4 linked regions of the Arabidopsis thaliana genome follow. The protein of the gene in region 1 interacts with the protein of each later gene in a pairwise test. Each region holds a gene or a part of one and is shown in the gene's direction. Other genes may lie near its edges.

Region 1 (4,296 bases):
ATGAAACAAGAAAAAAAAAAAAAAAAACTCACGTTCGATCAAGATATCGGTTAACATTCAATGCAAGGGTCGAAAACCAAACCAACCAATTTTCAGTCTGGTTTGGGTATGGGATTGGTTTGGTTAAATTCACACTGATCCTCCTAGAAAATATATTCATTGTAGTAACAGAGGAAATGTAAATTCTGCGTTTTCATTCATTTCAATTGGCTAATGGACATGGCAAAGTGCTCACCATCAATAGTTCACAAGAAAAAATCCTTCACAGCACGAAACCAATCAACTTTTTTGGCCAACATGGGGCTGAAGACACTTGCCGGAATTTCATGAGAGTTCATCATGCCACTATCTTGAATCTTCTTATCAGCTGAAGCAATCATGCATTACCTTGGATGGATTTTTCAAATTGCTGGAGCTGCGAAATGAAACCGGGATTAGGATATGCCTGATGTCGTCGGCTCCTTACAAGTTCCATAGCTTTAGAGAATCCCATTCCATGCTTTTTCATCAGGTAAGCCACCACTATAGTCACACTTCAAAGAAAAACTCAAACCAATCAAATTGTGTAAGTATATATATAACAGAACGACACAATAAGCAAATTACAGGTTCAAGAAAAACTCTTAATTTGTCCACAACAAAATGTAATCTGTTCACTACCATAACTCCTACTAATACCAGAATCAGCAAGCTATAAAAGAATCAAAGCAAACTACAAGATTCATATACACTTTTGCCAATCTGAGTCTCTGTAGTTTCCTATGGTTACTCAGTTGGCAATTTATATACACTTTTTTGATATGGTTACATAATTTGCAATTGGTTCACATTGATGATTCTTAAACACTAAATCTAATAACTGAATGTATGAGATTTAAGGGCAAAAGAATCAAAACCTCCTAGACATTCCCATGAAGCAATGAACCAAAACACCACCACCAGATTGAATAGCTTGGTCGATGAAGCTATAACACTCATCGAAATATACTGTCAAATCGGTCTCGGATCTATCAACCACTACACGATGAAGAACAAGTTTATAAAATCTCTAAACGAAAAATTTCAAAAACAGGCTAAGGATTGAAGAAAAAAAACCCAACCTTCAATGACTTTGTAGACAAAATCATCAGGATAAGGAGGAGCCAAGGCCACAGCAACGGTTAAGACATGAGTGATATTAGAGCTTTTGAGAAAATCCTTGTTATTCGCTTCAGCTACTGATCCTATGAACAATCCCTGAGAATAAACTCATCCAACAAACGATTTTTCGGAATTAAAGACTCCAAAACCTGAGAAATTCCAAGTGTGAAATTAGACGGATAGATAGAGAAGAGAAACGAAGAAAACCTGTTGGATCTCGCTGAGATCTTTGCCTCCTTCGAGTAGCTTCTGGGAATTAGCTTCTCCGACTCCGAAGAGATCAACCACTTTCTCCATCGCTCTCTGCTTCTTTTTTCAAAATTCCACTTGTACAGACGAAAACTCTTAATCAGAAAGATAAATAACCCTAGATTCGTAATTAATATTTAATAGTTTAGTTCGGATAGATGAATCAATAAGCACCAGTGGTCTAGTGGTAGAATAGAACCCTGCCACGGTACAGACCCGGGTTCGATTCCCGGCTGGTGCAACAATTTGTTTGTTTTTTTAAGTGAAAAGATTTAAGAGAGTCAACCTTTTTACACATGAAATGAAGATGATTAAAATAAATAGATGACTTAGAAATCACCAAATTAACATTAAGAAATATTGGTAGGTAGGAAGTGAAAATTGAACACAAGAAAAGTGTTGAGCACCCTCTTCTCCTTTCAGACTGCTTAACCAAAGGAATATAGCAGCACTCTACTAATTCTTCTTTTTGTTGAAATAAAATAATTACTCTTTAATTTCCATCTTCTTTGCGTTTTTCTCTCTATCTCTCTTTTTTTGTTCCATTAGATCATTCATAAAGCGGATCAAGCCACCTTGATTGTGACTTTCCTCAGTTCTTGATCACTATATCTTGAAGGAATTAAGAAGATGAATGGTGAGGCACGGTCAAGAGTAGTCGACCAAGAAGCTGGCTCAACTCCATCTACTTTGAGAGATGAAGATCATCCCTCGAGACAAAGGCTTTTCGGATGTCTCCCTTATGATATAGATCTCAATCCCCTACGCATTGTAAGCTTCATATATACACAAAATCATAGAATCAACAAGATTAATATCTCACAATACTTTTGTGTTAAACTAAAGAATTGGCTATGTCCATAATTACAAATAATTTTTTTGAAAATATTAAAATGTTTGTATAGAAATAAAATGCTAATTAATAGTATCTCCGGACTAATGTTTAGGTAATGGCGGAATTGGTGGGGACATTCATTCTAATGTTCAGTGTGTGTGGGGTCATAAGCAGTACCCAATTATCCGGCGGCCACGTGGGATTGCTAGAGTACGCCGTCACCGCTGGATTATCTGTGGTGGTCGTAGTTTACTCCATCGGACACATCTCTGGCGCCCATCTTAACCCTTCCATCACCATTGCTTTCGCTGTCTTTGGCGGATTCCCGTGGTCTCAGGTATAATGCATCCATCTCAACACGGCGTTTGACCAACTAAGAATTGTAGTTGAATTATCTTGGTCTTGATCGTTTGTTTTTGTTTATCTTAGCGTTTAGACCAAGATCAAATAATGTGTTTTTTTCATTTATCAACGAAGATGAGACGAGAAAACTTAATCTTTTGTTTGGACGTTTACAAATTATTTTTTATGAAAACTGAAAATTCTTTTTTGGAATGTTGTGTCACATGCCAGGTTCCGTTGTATATAACGGCGCAAACATTGGGGGCAACGGCGGCAACATTAGTTGGGGTGTCAGTGTACGGAGTAAACGCTGACATTATGGCAACAAAACCTGCTTTAAGCTGCGTTTCTGCATTTTTCGTTGAACTCATAGCTACGAGCATCGTCGTGTTTCTCGCCTCCGCGTTGCATTGTGGTCCTCATCAAAATGTAAGTGACCAAATCGATCTTCGTTACTCCTCTAGTCCGCTTGTTATAAAAAAATATCTTCTAATAAGAATAACACCTAAAATGTGACATTTACATGCTATTTCTTAATTATGAAATTTTATTTCTTTCCAAAGAGAAAATAAAAAAAATCAAACTCTCTGATTAGAAAACTTATATGCATTTAATTTTATATGTTATTTTGTGCAGTTGGGTAATTTGACGGGGTTCGTGATTGGAACAGTCATTTCCCTTGGAGTGCTTATTACCGGGTACTTAACTTAAAACTCCATTATCACCGTAAAGTATTGGAAAATAGTTATTTCATGTGATCGTATAATGCTAACGTTTTGTGGAATATGGTATGGTTAGACCGATTTCAGGAGGATCGATGAACCCAGCTCGATCACTTGGACCGGCGGTGGTGGCATGGGATTTTGAAGACTTATGGATTTACATGACAGCTCCGGTGATCGGAGCCATAATCGGAGTTTTGACATACAGATCAATTAGCCTAAAAACCAGGCCTTGCCCTTCTCCAGTTTCCCCTTCCGTTTCTTCACTTTTACGTTAATCACTTCAAAACCTAATATCTATTATACAAATAAACACTTTTGATTTTTTTTCTTGGTTAAGGTTTTTAAGTTTTTGTCATTACGTCATTAGATGCCGTGATGCGAAAACAGAGAGCTACTTATCGGATTGAAGATATAGAGGGTAAAGCAAATGAAAACAGGGGGCATTTTGTTCTTTTTACACAATGAAATGAACGCAATTAAAAATCTTTAGTCACATATATTTTATAGTGAAGCGAAATTCGTATGAATATTCAAATCCTTTCATTAGGTTATAAGAACCCACTAAAATACTCATATTACTAAACGATACCAACAAACATAAATTAGAGAAATGAAATTAAATATCTTAAATTATTACCCCAACTAAAAATTTAGTGGCCACAACCTCTACGACTTGGACCAGAAGCTAACTTTCGACCTGACCACAAATTCGCCTTCTTCTTCTTCTCCTCGTAGTTTCCAAACTCATTTCTTGAATCTTCTCCGACTACATTCATTCTCGTTGCCTTCTCTGCAACCCTGTTACAACCATGGTAACTAGCCATGGCAATGGAACAAGTTAAGTAAGCGACCAAGAGAAACACAACTTTAAGAAGCTTCTTCATCTTCATGTTCTTAGTGTCGACTACTACTTAAACTATAGATTCTCAACATTGATTCGTATTCGTGTATATATGCATGTTTATAGATTTTTGGTCTTTTGTTCTATGAGAGCTAATGCATAAT
Region 2 (5,777 bases), on another chromosome or scaffold:
TCTAAATACCTTTGTAAATCTTGATGCTAGCAAATCTCGCCAAACAAATAACCATCTCATCACTAGCTTGTTCAGAGGCATTGAAAATATGCTCGGTAGTAATTGATCCCACAAAGTAAAAGGTAACCTTTCATCACTACAGAAAAGAAGAATAATCAACCAAAATGAATTGAAAACATCAAACATAATTTATTTATGAATGAGAATACAAACATCTCATATCTGTGTTCAAAATCAATCTTTTTGTTCGCTAATTGTTGACATAAAGAGTCTCCATTTCACAAACGTTTATGATCAACAATTTCTTGTACAAGTAAAAGATCATAATAATAAGTAACCTACGGGTAGGCAAACTGTTTTTTGGTTTAGGGTTGGTTCAGATTTTATGGTTTTTTGGTTTTACAAAAACTGAAACCATATAGTAAAAGGTATAGAGACTACCACAACACAAAGAGCTGTTTAAAAGACTTATTCTTATTGATAATAAACTTTTGTTACAAGTATTATCTCAGTTCTTACTTGATCTAATCTACCCAAAAGATCAACCCCGACTAAGAATAACTAAGCTCTAATTCTCTTCTCTGTTTTTTATCACTAACCCGTGAAGACGAAGAGAACTACACACTCACCTTCAAGCTTTTGCACGGCTTTGAAGTTTTTACTTAGTATCGAAAAATATCCCAGAGTGCTCAAAGCGGCTCACCCTCTGCTCTAGAATATTTATATCAATTCCCCAGAACCCTAACCTTAGGATCTCCGAGAATCTCTTGATATGGAATCTTCCTTGTTTCCAAGCCTATTCCTTTCTTTATTCTTCGATATAATATCTTCTATATTTTCTCGATGAACCTTGTCTTTGACACCTCTCCAAGTTAACTTCCATCCTTGGCTCTTCACATCATTCGCCTTAGCTTGCCACGTTTGCTCTCGCATCCATGTCTGCACATCAAGCGTCTGATGAAACCTGATGCAGCGTCCTGAAATCCATCAACGATCTGATCACCATCAGCTGATTGATTCACTCTGCATCTTCATATAGAAATCGTATGTAATTTAGTTTGGTCAAACTTTCGGTATCATGAATCATATCCCTAGTTGTAACTAATGGCATGGTTCTCAAAAAATTCTTATACCCAACAAGAAACATAGTGCATTATGTCCCAATTGATGTATTTGTTCAATTGGTTTCATGAAACAATACAACGATTGTCTAAAATTGGGTAGGGAAGAGTTTAGGCCTGACCTGAATATTTGCTGAATAAGGCTTGGGTCAAAACTTTTGTAACTGGGCTTTGAACACCTTATTGGGCGGAAGTTTGCAAAGCCCACCAGATAAATATTTGCTTGATGAGTCTCTAAAAGTCTTGTAAAGATTGATATTTAATCTATGTTTATGGTTAAGGTTATTTCAGAATATTGTGGAGAGCAAGTAAAAAAAACAAAGATAGGAAATTATGATATAACAAATGTGGATGATTTAGGTTTAGGAAATAGCATTTTGTTCAAATATGTGGAGAATACACCATAAATGTTTATTTTCTTATAGTTATCCAAGAGGTTAAATGGTTTAGGTAATCGTAATTAAAGATCAATACGCTAAACATATGTAATTATTTTTTGCGTCAGCTGGATTTTATTATGTCAATTTCAATTACTTAAATCCTAATGCCATAATTCAGTAGCAATTTAAATAATAAAATAAATTAATTTGGATATCTATTCAAATGTACTGTCTCTTCGAAGATAATAATCAAACTTTAAATTCAACAAATATCATCAAAGCATGAAAATTCAATTGTTTCCAGCTACGTATTAATAGCTTTAATGTGGAAAAAGAAATATTAATAGCTTTTTTCATGGAAAAAAGAAAAAAAGAAAGAAACTTTACTTTTAATAGTATATTTTTGTCTGAGCCAATAAAAGAAAAATAATATTTTGGTTTAACATATTTGTCCCTCGTGATAGATTTGATTCGTTCGTTCTCCTTCTCCTTCATTAAAGACTTCACGATCCCACACCTCCACACACATTGACTCACACACACACACTTCTCTCTCCAAGTTCAGAAAAACCAAAAATGGGTTCTTGTCGGAAAACCACTTCTGGTTTTCAGCAAACCCACTTCTTGTAATAAAACAGACAAAACTAGAAAGAAGCAAAAAAGCTTCGTTTTTTTTTTCTCTTTCTCCAAAAAAAAAAACCCCCCCAAATATGGCGTCAATTTCATGGGTTTTGAATTCTCTATTCTCGATATTGCTACTGACTCAGCGAGTCAACTCGGAATCAACCGCAGAAAAACAAGCACTCCTCACTTTCCTTCAACAAATACCTCACGAGAATCGTCTTCAATGGAACGAGTCAGACTCAGCTTGTAACTGGGTCGGAGTCGAATGCAACTCAAACCAATCTTCAATCCACTCTCTCCGGTTACCAGGAACCGGTTTAGTCGGTCAGATCCCATCAGGCTCCTTAGGTCGACTCACTGAGCTCCGAGTTCTCAGTCTTCGTTCTAATCGTCTCTCTGGTCAGATCCCTTCAGATTTCTCAAATCTTACTCATCTGCGAAGCTTATATCTTCAACACAACGAATTCTCCGGCGAGTTTCCGACGAGTTTTACTCAGTTAAACAACTTGATTCGTCTTGATATCTCATCTAACAACTTCACTGGTTCGATACCTTTCTCAGTCAATAATCTCACTCACTTGACTGGTTTGTTTCTCGGTAACAATGGTTTCTCAGGGAATCTTCCTAGTATTAGTCTCGGTTTAGTCGATTTCAATGTCTCTAACAACAATCTAAACGGTTCGATTCCGTCTTCATTATCAAGATTCTCAGCTGAATCGTTTACTGGAAATGTAGATCTCTGTGGTGGTCCGTTAAAGCCTTGTAAATCGTTTTTTGTGTCTCCCTCGCCGTCTCCGTCGTTGATTAATCCTTCTAATCGTTTATCCAGCAAGAAATCAAAGCTTTCGAAAGCTGCGATTGTCGCGATAATCGTCGCTAGCGCGCTCGTTGCGCTTCTTTTGCTAGCTCTGCTTTTGTTCTTGTGTTTAAGAAAAAGAAGAGGAAGTAATGAGGCGAGGACGAAGCAGCCGAAACCGGCGGGAGTAGCTACAAGGAATGTGGATCTTCCACCGGGTGCTTCGTCCTCGAAAGAGGAAGTAACGGGGACATCATCGGGTATGGGAGGTGAAACAGAGAGGAATAAGCTTGTTTTCACTGAAGGAGGAGTGTATAGTTTTGATTTGGAAGATTTGCTTAGAGCTTCTGCTGAGGTTTTAGGTAAAGGAAGTGTTGGAACATCGTATAAGGCGGTGTTAGAGGAAGGTACCACGGTTGTTGTTAAGCGGCTTAAAGATGTAATGGCGTCTAAGAAAGAGTTCGAAACACAAATGGAAGTTGTTGGTAAAATCAAACATCCAAATGTTATTCCATTAAGAGCTTATTACTACTCTAAAGATGAGAAACTTCTCGTTTTCGATTTCATGCCTACCGGAAGCTTATCTGCTCTTCTCCACGGTTAGCATCTATTATCTTACTCAATTTTGCTCAATTTCATTGTTACTACACTATTAGTTAGATACATTGTGTAGAATCTTGGTTAGGTTTTGAGTTCTTATGGTTATGGTTATGGTTAAGATTTGGAACCTTAGTGAGATTAGGGAGTGATGATTTGATAATATTTTTCTAATGGATACTTGTGTGATTTTGCTTTGCTGGCAAGAAAAACATTCTTATTAGACTGCATCACATTCTTTAGATATTTTATTTTTGTTGAATTGTGGTAGTTATAGCTGGAGTTGTTATGCAATTATTAAAAGAGAAAAGTGTGTTGCCGACATTGTTATGTGTCTGTCTGGTTAGTGTCATAATAATTTATTTCATAATTTTGCTTCTCTCTCACTCTTTAAAGATTGGAATAAAGGAAAAGAAAAAGACTCTTCCACATGGGCTTTTCTCATCATCATATCTTAAACTCTTTTCCTTGAAGTAAACTTTTGTCTAAATGAGTGATGGAACTAAAGAACCTTTAGAATATGAATATTTTAATTTACTGAAAATGTATTTACAATTTAAAGCTTTAACCTAAGTTATGATGGGAATTATAATGTTAAGCTAGTACTATGAACATTTTGGTCTTTTGAAACTGTGTTTACATTTTGAAGTTAACTTGCAATATCTGGCTAATAGGTTTGTGTTTGTTTTAGGGAGCCGTGGATCAGGGCGAACTCCGTTAGATTGGGATAACCGTATGAGAATAGCGATAACTGCAGCGAGAGGTTTGGCGCATCTTCACGTTTCAGCCAAATTGGTACATGGAAACATTAAAGCTTCAAACATCCTCCTACACCCAAACCAAGACACTTGCGTCTCTGATTATGGACTGAATCAACTGTTCAGTAACTCGAGTCCACCAAACCGTTTGGCGGGTTATCATGCTCCTGAAGTTCTCGAGACACGGAAAGTAACTTTTAAATCGGATGTGTACAGTTTCGGGGTGTTGCTTCTTGAACTGTTAACAGGAAAATCACCAAACCAGGCATCACTTGGGGAAGAAGGTATTGATCTACCTCGGTGGGTACTCTCCGTGGTTCGAGAAGAATGGACTGCTGAAGTATTTGACGTTGAGCTGATGAGGTACCACAACATAGAGGAAGAGATGGTTCAGCTTCTTCAAATCGCAATGGCTTGTGTATCAACGGTTCCTGATCAACGACCAGTAATGCAAGAAGTACTAAGAATGATCGAAGATGTCAACAGAAGTGAGACAACCGATGACGGGTTAAGACAATCGTCTGATGACCCGTCAAAGGGATCAGAAGGTCAGACTCCTCCAGGAGAATCAAGGACGCCACCACGATCAGTCACACCTTAGCAAATGAATGGAATTGATTAAGAAGAAAGCAGCTTTAAAGTTTTTCTTGTTTGTGTTCACCTTTTTTTTTTTCTCCTCAAAAGGAGATAAAGAAAGGGATGAGATAAGTGTGTGAGGTCTTTGTTAGGTGTGAAGGTAAAGCAAAAAAGACTGGACCATCTCTGCATTTGGACCAACTTCTACAAGATGGCATCTCCCATCTATTTTTTTTTCAGTCTTCGAGATATTCTAGTGGTTATTATTTTTTCTTTTATTTGTATTTGGTGTTTACAATTTACAGGTTTAAATCAAAATTCAGTCTAAAACACTTCCAAGAAACTCACTCTTTTGGGTTTTATGCATAGTCACTAATTCTTCAGCTGTTTGAATAGATGATCTTTTTTTTTTTACCAAAAACTAAAACAGATGTTACTTTATTAGTTTACATTATTATCGACGTAAAATGATTTAAAAATAATAACTTGCATGTAGGAAGTATATATATGTGTCATATAGTAGTAGAAATAGAAAGAAAGAGATCCGGGTCGTCTTATTTGAACATATCAAGCGACTAATCAGTCATATGAGTCATTAGATTAGATTTGCTACTTTTCATCATACAATATTTTCCAATTGAAAGTGAGTTTTTTACATTTGCAATTAGATACAAGACCAAAGCCAAAAACAGTTTCCACTTTTGAAAGCTTGCTAGTAAGTCATTATGAATATGATTATTTCAAACATTAAGCTGTTAATAATTATAAAACTTTCATATTTAGTTGGTGGTCTGCATTTGGATTATTAAATAAAGATGCAAAAAATATCACAAAAATGCTCAAAGATTTCGTAACAAATGCTTCCAAAAAAACGCACACATATAACTAGTAAAATGTAACCAAAATATAACAAATTTACAAATTA
Region 3 (5,887 bases), on another chromosome or scaffold:
GTGTATGTGAGATGGTACATCCATCGTGATGGTAATCGGCTTATTTATAATTTTAACTTGCATTATACAGCAGGTAGTCTTATATTTTAGTTAAACTAAAAACTTTTATTGTAAAGTTGATTATAAATATATGATATTATTTTATTTGATTTTAAATGTATAGTAAACTGCGAGTTGTATATGTTTTGTTGATATTATTTATATTGTTTAGTGTTTAAAATTATATACTTGTATTTTGATTGTTAATTTTAAAGTTTCACATATAGTATATCATCTTGTATTAATATTGATTTAAACCCGTCAATTGTAGGATTTTTCAGCTTGTATTAAAAATTGAATCACATCATACACATTAAAAAATCTAATATGTTATTAATTATTGTAGTATATAAGATTATAAATTTTAAAATAATATGTATGAAATTGAATATAAATATTCAAACTATGACACAGTACTCAGTAAAAAAATTTCTTAAATCTACTTTTGACCCGTTATAGTATTTTTTCATGTATTGAACAGTTTATATTCGTTTTTAAAAATTCAAATTGTGGCATATGCGAAAAAATTCTAATTATTTTTTTATAACGATGATATTATTTTTTTGCAAAAATAGAATCATATAAAGATGAGAGGTGAACTATAATAATTAATAAAAAATTAATATGATAATTTAGATATCAAATCTAATTTGTTGATTTTAATTGGTTACTTTTTTGGAAATTAATAATGTATTTCGTTTTTGAGTTAAATTTAATTAATTAAATTAGTATTTGACTTTTAATTTTTAAAGAAATAAATTAATTTACTCTTTAAAATCTTATTTCTAATGACATACCTATGTAATTACTTACAAAAAAATAAAGTTATATTTAAAATGTATTTCCTAAATAATATAGTAGGATGTTATTGGTAAACATTGAAATAACATGTCGTATTCTCAAAGATTTTAAATATTGAAAATAAATAAATAATGTTGTATCTGAATAAATATTTATATTTATTGAAGTATTCGAAATTAATGACATCCATATATTTTTCATATACTAGAAAACAAAAACTATAATTATTCGAGTTTATCTAATAAAATAATGTCACTTGCATATTTGTGACCTATCGACATCAATATCAACGAGGTAGCGAAAATGCTAAAAAGTAGAGGAGGATTCGAGCATTATATTCATATTTAAGTGTTACTTTAATAATCTTATTATTTGTCCTAAATTGAAGTTTTAGCTAAATTTTCTCCCACAATATTGTTATTCTGATTTTGTTAAGAGTTAGGACAACATCTAAATATGAATTCTATAATGCATGCTAACTATTATTATAAGTGCTAAAATATAAAATGACATTGTCACTTTTTGTTGTCAAAAGGAATGTCTAGTGGCCTCGTATTCTAATATGGGAAGTTTTAATTATTATTCCTACCAAAAAATATCTTTGAAGTAGACAGTTTACCTAAACAAAAAGAAAAACATTTTCTTAAAAATACAATATAGTTTAGTCTCAGCCTGTACCACAATTTTATAGTATTGTTGCGTAATTAGTTACATTGTAAAAGCTCATTATAATACTAATGAGTATGTAGAAGTATGTAGAAGAAAATAAATGATTCAAAGCGACTACAAATGCTTGTATATGTGAGCGAACATGGGACAATGATTCAAAAAATTATCTTTGCGCAAAAAATAACTCGAAAACGACAATCAGACAAAAAAAAACAATAGTTAAATTTGATATAAAAGAATTTAAAATGAACGATATCTTATTTAATTACAAATTAAAATGTTTTTAAATTAAGTTTTTTTTTGTCGACAGAGAAGAAAAAAAACAGGTCCCTTTACGAATTCTATAAATCGATGTTAGGCGACGCGTTCTGAGGTGGAAAACTATGAAACAGTCTGCGTCTCTCCACGCAAAGGCTCAATTTTTACAAACCATGAAGAATTCTTAAGCAAAACAAGTCTAACATCTTTTTGAATTCACCCAAAACTCAAATCCTACCTCAAATTTCGTATTTTTCTTCTTCTGCATTTTCTAGTTTAGGATCGACATTTTTATCCTCCGAAAGATTCGTGCTTTTTTCTCTCTGTAGATTACGATTGTTTTGTAGATTTAAGAAAAACAAAAAGATGAGTTTTAGGGATGATAATACGGAAGAGGGAAGAAATGATCTTCGGCGACCGTTCTTACACACAGGAAGTTGGTATCGGATGGGTTCGAGACAATCTAGTATGTTGGAATCGTCTCAAGTTATTCGAGACAGCTCAATTTCTGTCTTAGCTTGTGTTTTGATTGTTGCTCTTGGTCCTATTCAATTCGGATTCACTGTAAGAACAACATAAACAAATATCTCAACTTTCTTATATTTTTTTTTATCAATGTGGATTTCTCTGCTTTTGCTCAAATTGACTAAGAAAGTGTTGATTTTGATTTATCTTTTTGTTTTCAGTGTGGTTATTCCTCACCAACTCAAGCTGCCATTACTAAGGATCTTGGTTTAACTGTATCAGAGGTATGAAGGTCCCATCTTTATTTAAGAACTGTTCTGTTTTTTTTTTTTTTTTTTGTAAAGACTCTTGTTCTGTAATTTTCTGACTTTTAGGTTTCTTGTTTGATGTTTTAGTACTCTGTGTTTGGGTCTCTATCCAATGTGGGTGCTATGGTTGGAGCAATTGCGAGTGGTCAGATTGCTGAATACGTTGGACGGAAAGGGGTATAATAGTTTTGTTTCTTGATTCTAAAACATGTTCTCATCTGTGACAATTTGTCATGTAACATCTTCTTTCTTGTTGTATCTTATTTACTGTGTTTTTCTTTCCTTTTGACAGTCTCTGATGATTGCTGCAATTCCCAATATTATTGGATGGCTTTCGATATCATTTGCAAAAGTGAGTGTTTTGGTGTTCTCAAAGTTTCTGATATTCTTGGCTTATCTCTATACCTACTAAGTTGTTGTTGTTCTTGGTTTTTGTTTAGGATACTTCTTTTCTTTACATGGGAAGATTGTTAGAAGGCTTCGGAGTTGGGATTATCTCCTATACGGTAATATTAGATTCAACTATTTCTTTGATTTCAGCAATGTTTGTTTGGAGTGATCAATATAATTACACACCTTTGAATTGCGATTTTAGGTTCCCGTATATATAGCTGAGATCGCTCCACAGACCATGAGAGGAGCCTTAGGTTCAGTTAACCAGGTTTGTCATGTTTAGTTAGCTTCACTATTTTTATGTTTCATTTTATGAGCTGATTCATATGTTAACACTAAACAATAAATGTTTTGTGTTTATAGCTTTCTGTAACAATTGGGATAATGCTGGCGTATTTACTCGGTCTCTTTGTTCCATGGAGAATTCTTGCAGTTTTGGGTAACTCACAAAACATTTTGACTTGACTTGGGAGAAACTATACCTGTTTTTATTTTATTTTGATCGATACAGTCTAATCACTTTCTTGTTTGTCTTCTTTATGTTTAGGAGTATTGCCATGTACATTGTTGATACCGGGTCTTTTTTTCATTCCTGAATCTCCTCGGTGGTTGGTATGCCTCTACAACCGTATTGCTTATATTGTTGAGTTTGTTGCATTATTGGTTATCCTAAATTGTTTTGGTGTTGTAATTGTAGGCAAAGATGGGTTTGACAGATGATTTCGAAACTTCATTGCAAGTTCTTCGTGGATTTGAGACTGATATTACCGTTGAGGTTAATGAAATCAAGGTAGTGACTAAACTGAAGAAATGCTTTGATGTGATTTCTTGTCTTATTTAAAATTTTCATTTTATGCACTCTGCAGAGATCTGTGGCATCATCTAGCAAACGTTCTGCAGTTCGGTTTGTAGACCTCAAGCGCAGGAGATACTATTTCCCACTGATGGTGCAATTTCTCTTACCTCTCTTGAACTAATTTTGTCAACACATGAGAGAAACTCACTCTTTTCCTGTAATCTGTGTTACAGGTTGGTATAGGGCTGCTTGCACTTCAACAACTTGGAGGAATCAATGGTGTCTTGTTCTATTCGAGTACAATTTTTGAATCTGCAGGTAGAGTCATATGTTTTTTTTGATTATTGGAATGGTCCTAAGATAGAATAAACAGATTTCTAACTATGCTTCTTTGTTTGCAATTATCATTCACTAAGGGGTGACATCAAGTAATGTGGCGACATTTGGAGTTGGCGTTGTTCAGGTATATCATTTCAATCTAGGAGACATTAGATTCGATTTTTCTAACCGTTGTTCATTCTATACCAGGTAGTGGCGACTGGGATAGCGACATGGTTGGTGGATAAAGCAGGTCGTCGGCTTCTACTCATGGTGAAGAATATTTGAGATTCATCTGTATATCTTACAAAGTCTGAAGAATTTATGTATGCATAACATAATATTAGCATTTTCTTCTGAAATGCAGATCTCTTCTATCGGAATGACGATAAGCCTCGTGATTGTAGCAGTTGCATTTTACCTTAAGGTAACATTTTAACTTTTGACATCTCTACTTGTACAATGTAAGAGTGTCACTCTAATTATGAGATATTGAGGTTTCTTAATCTTTTGTTAGGAATTTGTATCACCTGATTCCAACATGTACAACATTCTAAGCATGGTTTCCGTAGTTGGAGTTGTGGTAAGTCGTTTGTTTTATACATTCACACAACGAAAGATACTTTCTTATTTACATATTTCCCGGTATGTGTACTAAATCTGGCTGAGTTATTTACAGGCTATGGTTATTTCTTGCTCTCTAGGAATGGGACCAATTCCATGGCTGATTATGTCTGAGGTACTAAATATTAAAACATGGTGTTCCTTAGTGTTAAAATCACAACTGGAAATTTTAATACTGATTAATGTTGGTAAAACAGATTCTGCCAGTGAATATAAAGGGTTTAGCCGGAAGTATAGCAACTTTGTTAAACTGGTTCGTGTCATGGTTAGTGACAATGACTGCAAATATGCTGTTAGCATGGAGCAGTGGGGGAACTTTCACTCTCTACGCTTTGGTTTGTGGATTCACTGTGGTTTTTGTGAGTCTTTGGGTTCCTGAGACTAAAGGAAAAACGCTTGAAGAGATCCAAGCTTTGTTCAGATGATCAAAACAAGAAGAGGAAGAAGAAGACAAAATTTTCACTTTTTGCTTTCTCCATTACAGATCATTCTTTTGTCCCTTCCCTGTGTCTGTATTTCATGCTTTGTTCAATGTATTTCTTCTTGACATTGATTATAATTTGTTTATCTTGTACAAGCATATCATTATACCTTTAAATTTGATTTTTTGTTTTTGTGTGTAATTTTTCGGATTCTCAAGATTAATAGCACTATATTTGTGTATTCAACAATATCTTGAATTAAGTATAGAAAATCAGAAATGCAAATGTTAGTGTTTTGGATCCAAATGGGAAAGCTACCATGTGATAGAAACTGCTTTGGGAGTTTTGTTGTTTGGCGAACATGAAAGGACTATTTCCAATGCAAACGGCGGTCGATTTGAAAAAGAAAACAACAATATAATAACAATTTTAAAATCATTCTTTATATAACATTCTTGGCATGTCCCACTGTCCAATTTGACCATTCATTAAGAAATCAGAACCAAGTAAACAATACTAAGGTCATTTTCTTCCAAAAGTAATAAACTAGGAAAATATCTAGACAATTTACAGATAGTAACGAAATAATACGTTACAAGAACATGAAAATGGTTTTTGTAGTTACCGTTCCTTGTTTATATTCTCAAAGTAACGGATTCACATATTCACACCATTCAACACGAGTGAGTGTCAGTGAAAGGCAAAGTTGGACAAACGAAAGTTTTGGTTTCTGTAATTTAATTGGAGCAAACTTCAATAATAGTAAACAAACAACCTTTTGTTTAACAATGTCC
Region 4 (5,853 bases), on another chromosome or scaffold:
TCTTCCTAACTTTCTCTGCTTCTTCCCACTCTTTCTCTATCTGCCATCCTGGTTTGTAATCCCCACGGTCATGCAAGAACTTACACGAATCTCCATATCCACAGTATCCGGTTTCTTTGTAATCCTTGCAAATGTCTGGCTGGTAATCGAATCTAGCCGACACTCTTATGTGAGCAGAAGCTCTTAATGGCCCGTGTGAGCCTCCAGCTTTCTCGCTCGAGATTGTTTGTTCTCTTCTAAACCCAGCTTTGTGATCTGTATATCCATGAATTCCTTTGTACAGCTTCTCATCAGAAGCCTTTTTCTTATTCCCTTTCAATGCTTCGTCTGCTTTTTTAAGAACTCTCTCACGGATAGCTCGTGCGTCTTGATTGAAGTCGGTCTCAGTTTCAAGGGTTGCTGTTGCTCCACTGTCGTTCTGAACCTGGATTTCCTTGGATGAATCGTAGTGAAAGACGGACCTCTCAGGAGCTCCACTCGTTGTAGTAGAACTCTTAGATGGTCCAGAAGAAAAGTATAACTTGCTATCGGGTTTTGCAACTTTCTTTAGATTTTGTAGAATAGAGCTTTCGCTTTTCGAATCTCCGTCTTCTTCATCAGCGTCAATGGTTCTTTTTCTTATGTTTTTACTTTTCGTTGGCTTCTTGAAGAAAGTGCAAACTGAAACAGAAGAATGATTTGATTAGTGTAAATGAAAATTTCTAGCTAACAACGAAGAACAAGAAAAAATCTCAATGAGACGACAACTAGAATTGAGATAGAAGGAAGTATATGTAACCTTGTTGAGACTGAGTTTCTTGGGCAGCAGGTTGAGGTAGAGGTTCTTCTTGCTGAGAAGGTTTAGGCTCACCAGAATCTGACATAGTTAGATATAAGACTATGTAACAAACACAAATCACCCACTTGTAATTTGCTGCTTAGTGTTTCCCTGCAAAATTCAAGATTAGTATTAAGTCAATTTCCTGAAAACTTGTAAATTTGTTTGCACTGAGTCAAACAACAATTTTATCAAAATTTCTCCAGATTCAGTTACAATAATAGACAATGCAACATAAAAATGATCACCTGAATTCTTCCTAATTCATCTACGCGAGCTCACGAATAAACCCTAGCTAACTATCTATATCGGTGGCAATTTCATTCACAGTAGATAAGGAAGCAGAAATAGAAGCTCCAGACAGATCAATCCGAAACACAGTTCGACAACTCGATGTGTCAACGGAAGCTACAAAATTTGGAATCTAAAAACCCTTTGAATTGATTGAAATTGGAGACAAAAGCTCGAACAACACTAAAGACTAAACAAGAACGAAAAGTAGATCAAAAGTATGGAGATTAAACACAAGGAAGAATATGTTACCTTAAAAAAAAATCTAAAAATCGACGCCGGTGAGCTACACCGTCAAAAAGAACGACGACGCCGTCCGTATTTTCCGACAGAAAATAAATCAGTGTGAAGAGAAAAGAAATAAGGAACATATGGTGGGGCGGTTACTTCATTTTGGGTCATGAATCTAAATGGGCTCAATATTCATAATGGGCCCGGTACTTAAAATTTGGCAACTTGCTTATTCTCGCCGTCTGACTTTGACCAAGTCATTCATCTGAATGAAATTGTTTTATGAAATGATTTTCAATTGAACAGACTTTATAATATTTAATTGCATAATATTCCTCTTTCCCTCCCTTTTTGTCGTATAATAAAATTCTCATATACTACTTTTCCAGGAAACAATATACAGAGAGAGATACAAGTAACCGCCATATGAGTCTCTCTCTCTTTCCAGCGACGACGGGACCAGTTGCTTGAATTGAAGAAAACGCCGTTCACCGACTTCCGTTTATTAGCCGAATCTTACTATCTCGCCGTTACCTACTTCGTTTCAGGTTAGTTTGATGATAGAATTTTGATTCCGATTTCCGTTTTTGTTCTTTTTCGTCTGAATTTATTTTGCTGTTTCTCAGAACCGAAACGCTTAGATATATGTCTTTCGTTTATGGTCAATGGTTTTTTGAAATTTGGATTTCTTATCTTTGATGAACAGTGTTTTTAAGTTGTTCGTGTGGTTTCCATTTATTGAGCAGGAATGGGTAGGAATTACAGGATTTGGTATAATCTAATGTTAGGTGGAAATTGACTGATTCTAGGTTCTCTAATTAACCTTTTCAAGAAAGAAATATTTAAAAACACATACACACAACACAATTGTATTTGTAGTTAGGTGTCTACTTGCTTATTTTTAATTGGTATTGGGGATTATCATTGTACGTAATCATGTAGAAGAATTCGTATGTCTTAAGTTTTGGTTCTTATTATAATGTTAGGACTCGTCACCCTGTAAGCGAAAGATCAGTTGAAATATACAAGGGTTTGGCTGATGGCATTTAGCCATGATAATCGTGTAAGGTTGGTAGTTACAGAAAATCTTGAAAACAGTTCATAGTTGAATGATTTTTTCTACTATCTCATTTTCTTATGATTTTGTTTAGGTTCAAAGATGAAGGCAAACCATTATCCTCTGAATATGGTTATGGAAGAAAAGCTAGACCTTCTTTAGATAGAGTTTTCAAGAATGTAAAATGGGGATTCAAGAAGCCATTGAGTTTCCCTTCACATAAGGATCCTGACCACAAGGAAACATCTAGTGTTACTCGGAAGAACATCATAAACCCGCAGGATTCGTTTCTCCAGAACTGGAACAAAATATTTTTATTTGCTTGTGTGGTTGCTTTGGCGATTGATCCATTGTTTTTCTACATTCCCATTGTCGATAGCGCAAGGCACTGTCTTACTTTGGACTCAAAGTTGGAGATAGCTGCGAGTTTGCTTCGTACGCTCATCGATGCCTTTTACATTATTCACATTGTGTTTCAGTTCAGGACAGCTTACATCGCTCCTTCTTCGCGGGTTTTTGGAAGAGGTGAACTGGTAGATGATGCTAAGGCAATAGCCTTAAAGTATCTCTCTTCTTACTTCATCATTGATCTACTCTCTATCCTTCCTCTCCCACAGGTAAATGACTAGTTTGATTACTTGTTCAAAATGTCAATGATCATTTCTTTTTGAATCCTCTGGCTTCTTAACTTTTGCAGATAGTAGTTTTAGCCGTTATTCCAAGCGTCAACCAGCCAGTCTCTTTGCTAACAAAAGACTACCTTAAATTTTCCATAATTGCTCAATATGTTCCTCGGATTCTCCGTATGTATCCGCTTTACACTGAAGTGACAAGAACATCTGGCATTGTTACTGAAACAGCATGGGCTGGAGCTGCTTGGAACCTCTCTCTCTATATGTTAGCCAGTCATGTGAGTTTCGGATCTTTTGATGACTGAATCTTTATACATGTAAATGCATATTAAAGGTTATATGTTAAACTTACTTATTCAGGTGTTTGGAGCTTTATGGTACTTAATCTCAGTAGAACGAGAAGACAGATGCTGGCAAGAGGCATGCGAGAAGACAAAAGGTTGTAATATGAAATTCCTCTACTGTGAAAACGATCGTAACGTTAGCAACAATTTCCTGACCACTTCTTGCCCATTTCTCGACCCTGGTGATATAACAAACTCAACCATCTTCAACTTTGGCATCTTCACTGATGCTCTTAAGAGTGGCGTTGTTGAATCACATGATTTCTGGAAGAAATTCTTCTACTGCTTCTGGTGGGGTCTTCGAAATCTGAGGTTTGTAAGACACACATAAAACTGTTGACAATAACTAACTAGCTATATTTGGAGATTTTAAGCCGTGAAATGACCTGTTTATATTTGCATCTTAAGCATATATATCTGTCACAATTTAAACAAGTCATCATTCTCACAAGTTGCTTTTGTTGTTGCAGTGCATTGGGACAGAATCTCCAAACTAGCAAATTCGTTGGTGAAATCATATTTGCTATATCAATCTGCATATCTGGACTAGTCTTATTTGCTCTACTTATCGGCAATATGCAGGTATTAGCCTCAAATAATCGCTTCTCATTTTCTGGACTTGTTCCATAATGCTACATATAAGTTACTCAGGACACGCATGTAATTTTTGTTTGCTGTTGCAGAAATATTTGGAGTCAACAACAGTTCGAGAAGAGGAAATGAGGGTGAGAAAGAGAGATGCAGAGCAGTGGATGTCTCATAGAATGTTACCTGAAGACCTGAGGAAACGTATCAGAAGATATGAACAATATAGATGGCAAGAGACAAGAGGAGTTGAAGAAGAAACCCTTCTTCGTAACCTCCCTAAAGACCTCAGAAGAGATATTAAACGCCATCTTTGCCTCGATCTCCTCAAGAAAGTGAGTAACAAGCTTTCTCTCTTTTTCTTCCATAAACTGAACTAAAGAACCCTCAGAATCCAAATTATATGATGTTTATGGTAGGTACCTTTGTTTGAGATAATGGATGAGCAGTTACTTGACGCGGTTTGCGATAGGCTAAGACCTGTGCTCTACACCGAGAACAGTTACGTGATCCGTGAAGGAGATCCTGTTGGGGAAATGTTGTTTGTTATGAGAGGAAGACTGGTAAGTGCCACCACTAATGGAGGAAGAAGTGGGTTCTTCAATGCCGTGAACCTAAAGGCAAGTGATTTCTGCGGAGAAGATCTTCTCCCGTGGGCATTAGATCCTCAATCTTCTTCTCACTTTCCCATCTCGACAAGAACAGTTCAAGCTCTCACTGAAGTCGAAGCCTTTGCTCTCACAGCTGAGGATCTCAAGTCTGTCGCTTCACAATTCAGACGCCTCCATAGCAAGCAACTCCAACATACTTTTCGGTTCGGTCACTCCCATCAGCTTCTTTGGCTCTGTTTTCGGTTTTGGATCTTCTTAACCGGATCTTGATTATATATACAGGTTTTACTCAGTGCAATGGAGAACATGGAGCGTGTCTTTTATACAAGCAGCGTGGAGGAGATACTGTCGGAGGAAGTTAGCCAAGTCACTACGCGATGAAGAAGATCGTCTCCGAGAAGCGCTCGCTAGTCAAGATAAAGAACACAATGCTGCAACCGTGTCGTCGTCCTTGAGCCTTGGAGGCGCTCTTTACGCGTCGCGTTTCGCATCAAACGCGCTTCACAATCTGAGGCACAATATCTCCAACCTTCCTCCTCGCTACACTCTTCCTTTGCTACCTCAAAAACCCACCGAGCCTGACTTCACCGCCAATCATACAACTGACCCTTAGATCTCTCTTGCATGTGTATAGTGTGTGGAATAAAGTGTAAAAACAATGGTTTGAACTTTGAACCAATAAAATGTAAAAAATTGTTTATCAACTAACAGAAATTGAAATAATGGCTGGCTCTTATGCGCCGCTTAACTTTGGCTACTTCAGTTCAGCATCACACATGGAGGTATAGTTAGAGACTCGATCTGATGATCAATGCATTGAGGAAAGTGGGAAAAGCATATTTAGCTTTCAAGCTAATGCATAGCAAAACTGGGGTTGGTTATGAGAGAATGGCTAGTGTTAGAAGGTCTGTCAGGTTTAGGACTTTACTTAAACTTGTTTTGACTCCCGAGTTTAAAGAAACTTTTTTGCGTTTATGTCTTTTCTTGAAGAAGGAAACAATCGAAAGTTTCCTTTTTATTTTGGAAGAACCTAATAATGAAAACCTGAGGGAGAATGCTAATCTCCAACAACATCTCACTCATTCTCTCTTCTTCCTTGAGAAATCAAAGCAAACCAACCAATGTTTCCTTTTGGTTTTGTTCGGTATAATATCAACGTCTCTTTCGTATGTCGGTTTTCAGTGTTTCCTTTTTTTAAGTCCCGCTCCTGTATAAAGCAGACCAACATATTGAGCTTGCGTTTATATATACTACAAGTAACCCTAGAGTACTTTCATCTCTTTTT

The links.
Region 2: the proteins of NIP7;1 (region 1) and AT2G26730 interact in a protein complementation assay, tested with the Arabidopsis thaliana proteins (one large-scale study listed by BioGRID).
Region 3: the proteins of NIP7;1 (region 1) and AT1G19450 interact in a protein complementation assay, tested with the Arabidopsis thaliana proteins (one large-scale study listed by BioGRID).
Region 4: the proteins of NIP7;1 (region 1) and CNGC10 interact in a protein complementation assay, tested with the Arabidopsis thaliana proteins (one large-scale study listed by BioGRID).

Annotation. Positions count from the first base shown.
Region 1 is NC_003074.8:1,840,658-1,844,953, reverse strand, and holds NIP7;1 (NOD26-like intrinsic protein 7;1), read left to right. Parts: upstream 1-1,757; 5' UTR 1,758-2,019; coding exon 2,020-2,160; intron 2,161-2,242; exon of another isoform or gene 2,243-2,336; coding exon 2,337-2,561; intron 2,562-2,658; exon of another isoform or gene 2,659-2,674; coding exon of another isoform or gene 2,675-2,797; coding exon 2,798-2,995; intron 2,996-3,202; coding exon 3,203-3,264; intron 3,265-3,364; coding exon 3,365-3,566; 3' UTR 3,567-3,786; downstream 3,787-4,296. Other genes in the region: MKP2 (MAPK phosphatase 2), read right to left, coding at 377-533, 897-1,017, 1,101-1,236, 1,348-1,437; AT3G06090 (uncharacterized protein), read right to left, coding at 3,942-4,181. UniProt on the Arabidopsis thaliana protein: Aquaporins facilitate the transport of water and small neutral solutes across cell membranes.
Region 2 is NC_003071.7:11,386,410-11,392,186, forward strand, and holds AT2G26730 (Leucine-rich repeat protein kinase family protein), read left to right. Parts: upstream 1-1,888; 5' UTR 1,889-2,211; coding exon 2,212-3,520; intron 3,521-4,209; coding exon 4,210-4,877; 3' UTR 4,878-5,273; downstream 5,274-5,777.
Region 3 is NC_003070.9:6,730,880-6,736,766, reverse strand, and holds AT1G19450 (Major facilitator superfamily protein), read left to right. Parts: upstream 1-1,742; 5' UTR 1,743-2,133; coding exon 2,134-2,331; intron 2,332-2,453; coding exon 2,454-2,516; intron 2,517-2,627; coding exon 2,628-2,717; intron 2,718-2,832; coding exon 2,833-2,892; intron 2,893-2,980; coding exon 2,981-3,046; intron 3,047-3,135; coding exon 3,136-3,201; intron 3,202-3,296; coding exon 3,297-3,372; intron 3,373-3,480; coding exon 3,481-3,545; intron 3,546-3,630; coding exon 3,631-3,723; intron 3,724-3,799; coding exon 3,800-3,880; intron 3,881-3,962; coding exon 3,963-4,047; intron 4,048-4,145; coding exon 4,146-4,192; intron 4,193-4,257; coding exon 4,258-4,320; intron 4,321-4,414; coding exon 4,415-4,474; intron 4,475-4,564; coding exon 4,565-4,630; intron 4,631-4,726; coding exon 4,727-4,786; intron 4,787-4,868; coding exon 4,869-5,096; 3' UTR 5,097-5,356; downstream 5,357-5,887.
Region 4 is NC_003070.9:131,742-137,594, reverse strand, and holds CNGC10 (cyclic nucleotide gated channel 10), read left to right. Parts: upstream 1-1,670; 5' UTR 1,671-1,887; intron 1,888-2,272; exon of another isoform or gene 2,273-2,325; 5' UTR 2,326-2,378; coding exon 2,379-2,407; exon of another isoform or gene 2,408-2,476; coding exon of another isoform or gene 2,477-2,490; coding exon 2,491-3,013; intron 3,014-3,093; coding exon 3,094-3,306; intron 3,307-3,388; coding exon 3,389-3,684; intron 3,685-3,842; coding exon 3,843-3,954; intron 3,955-4,055; coding exon 4,056-4,292; intron 4,293-4,376; coding exon 4,377-4,771; intron 4,772-4,850; coding exon 4,851-5,181; 3' UTR 5,182-5,325; downstream 5,326-5,853. Other genes in the region: AT1G01350 (Zinc finger (CCCH-type/C3HC4-type RING finger) family protein), read right to left, coding at 1-660, 779-863. UniProt on the Arabidopsis thaliana protein: Probable cyclic nucleotide-gated ion channel.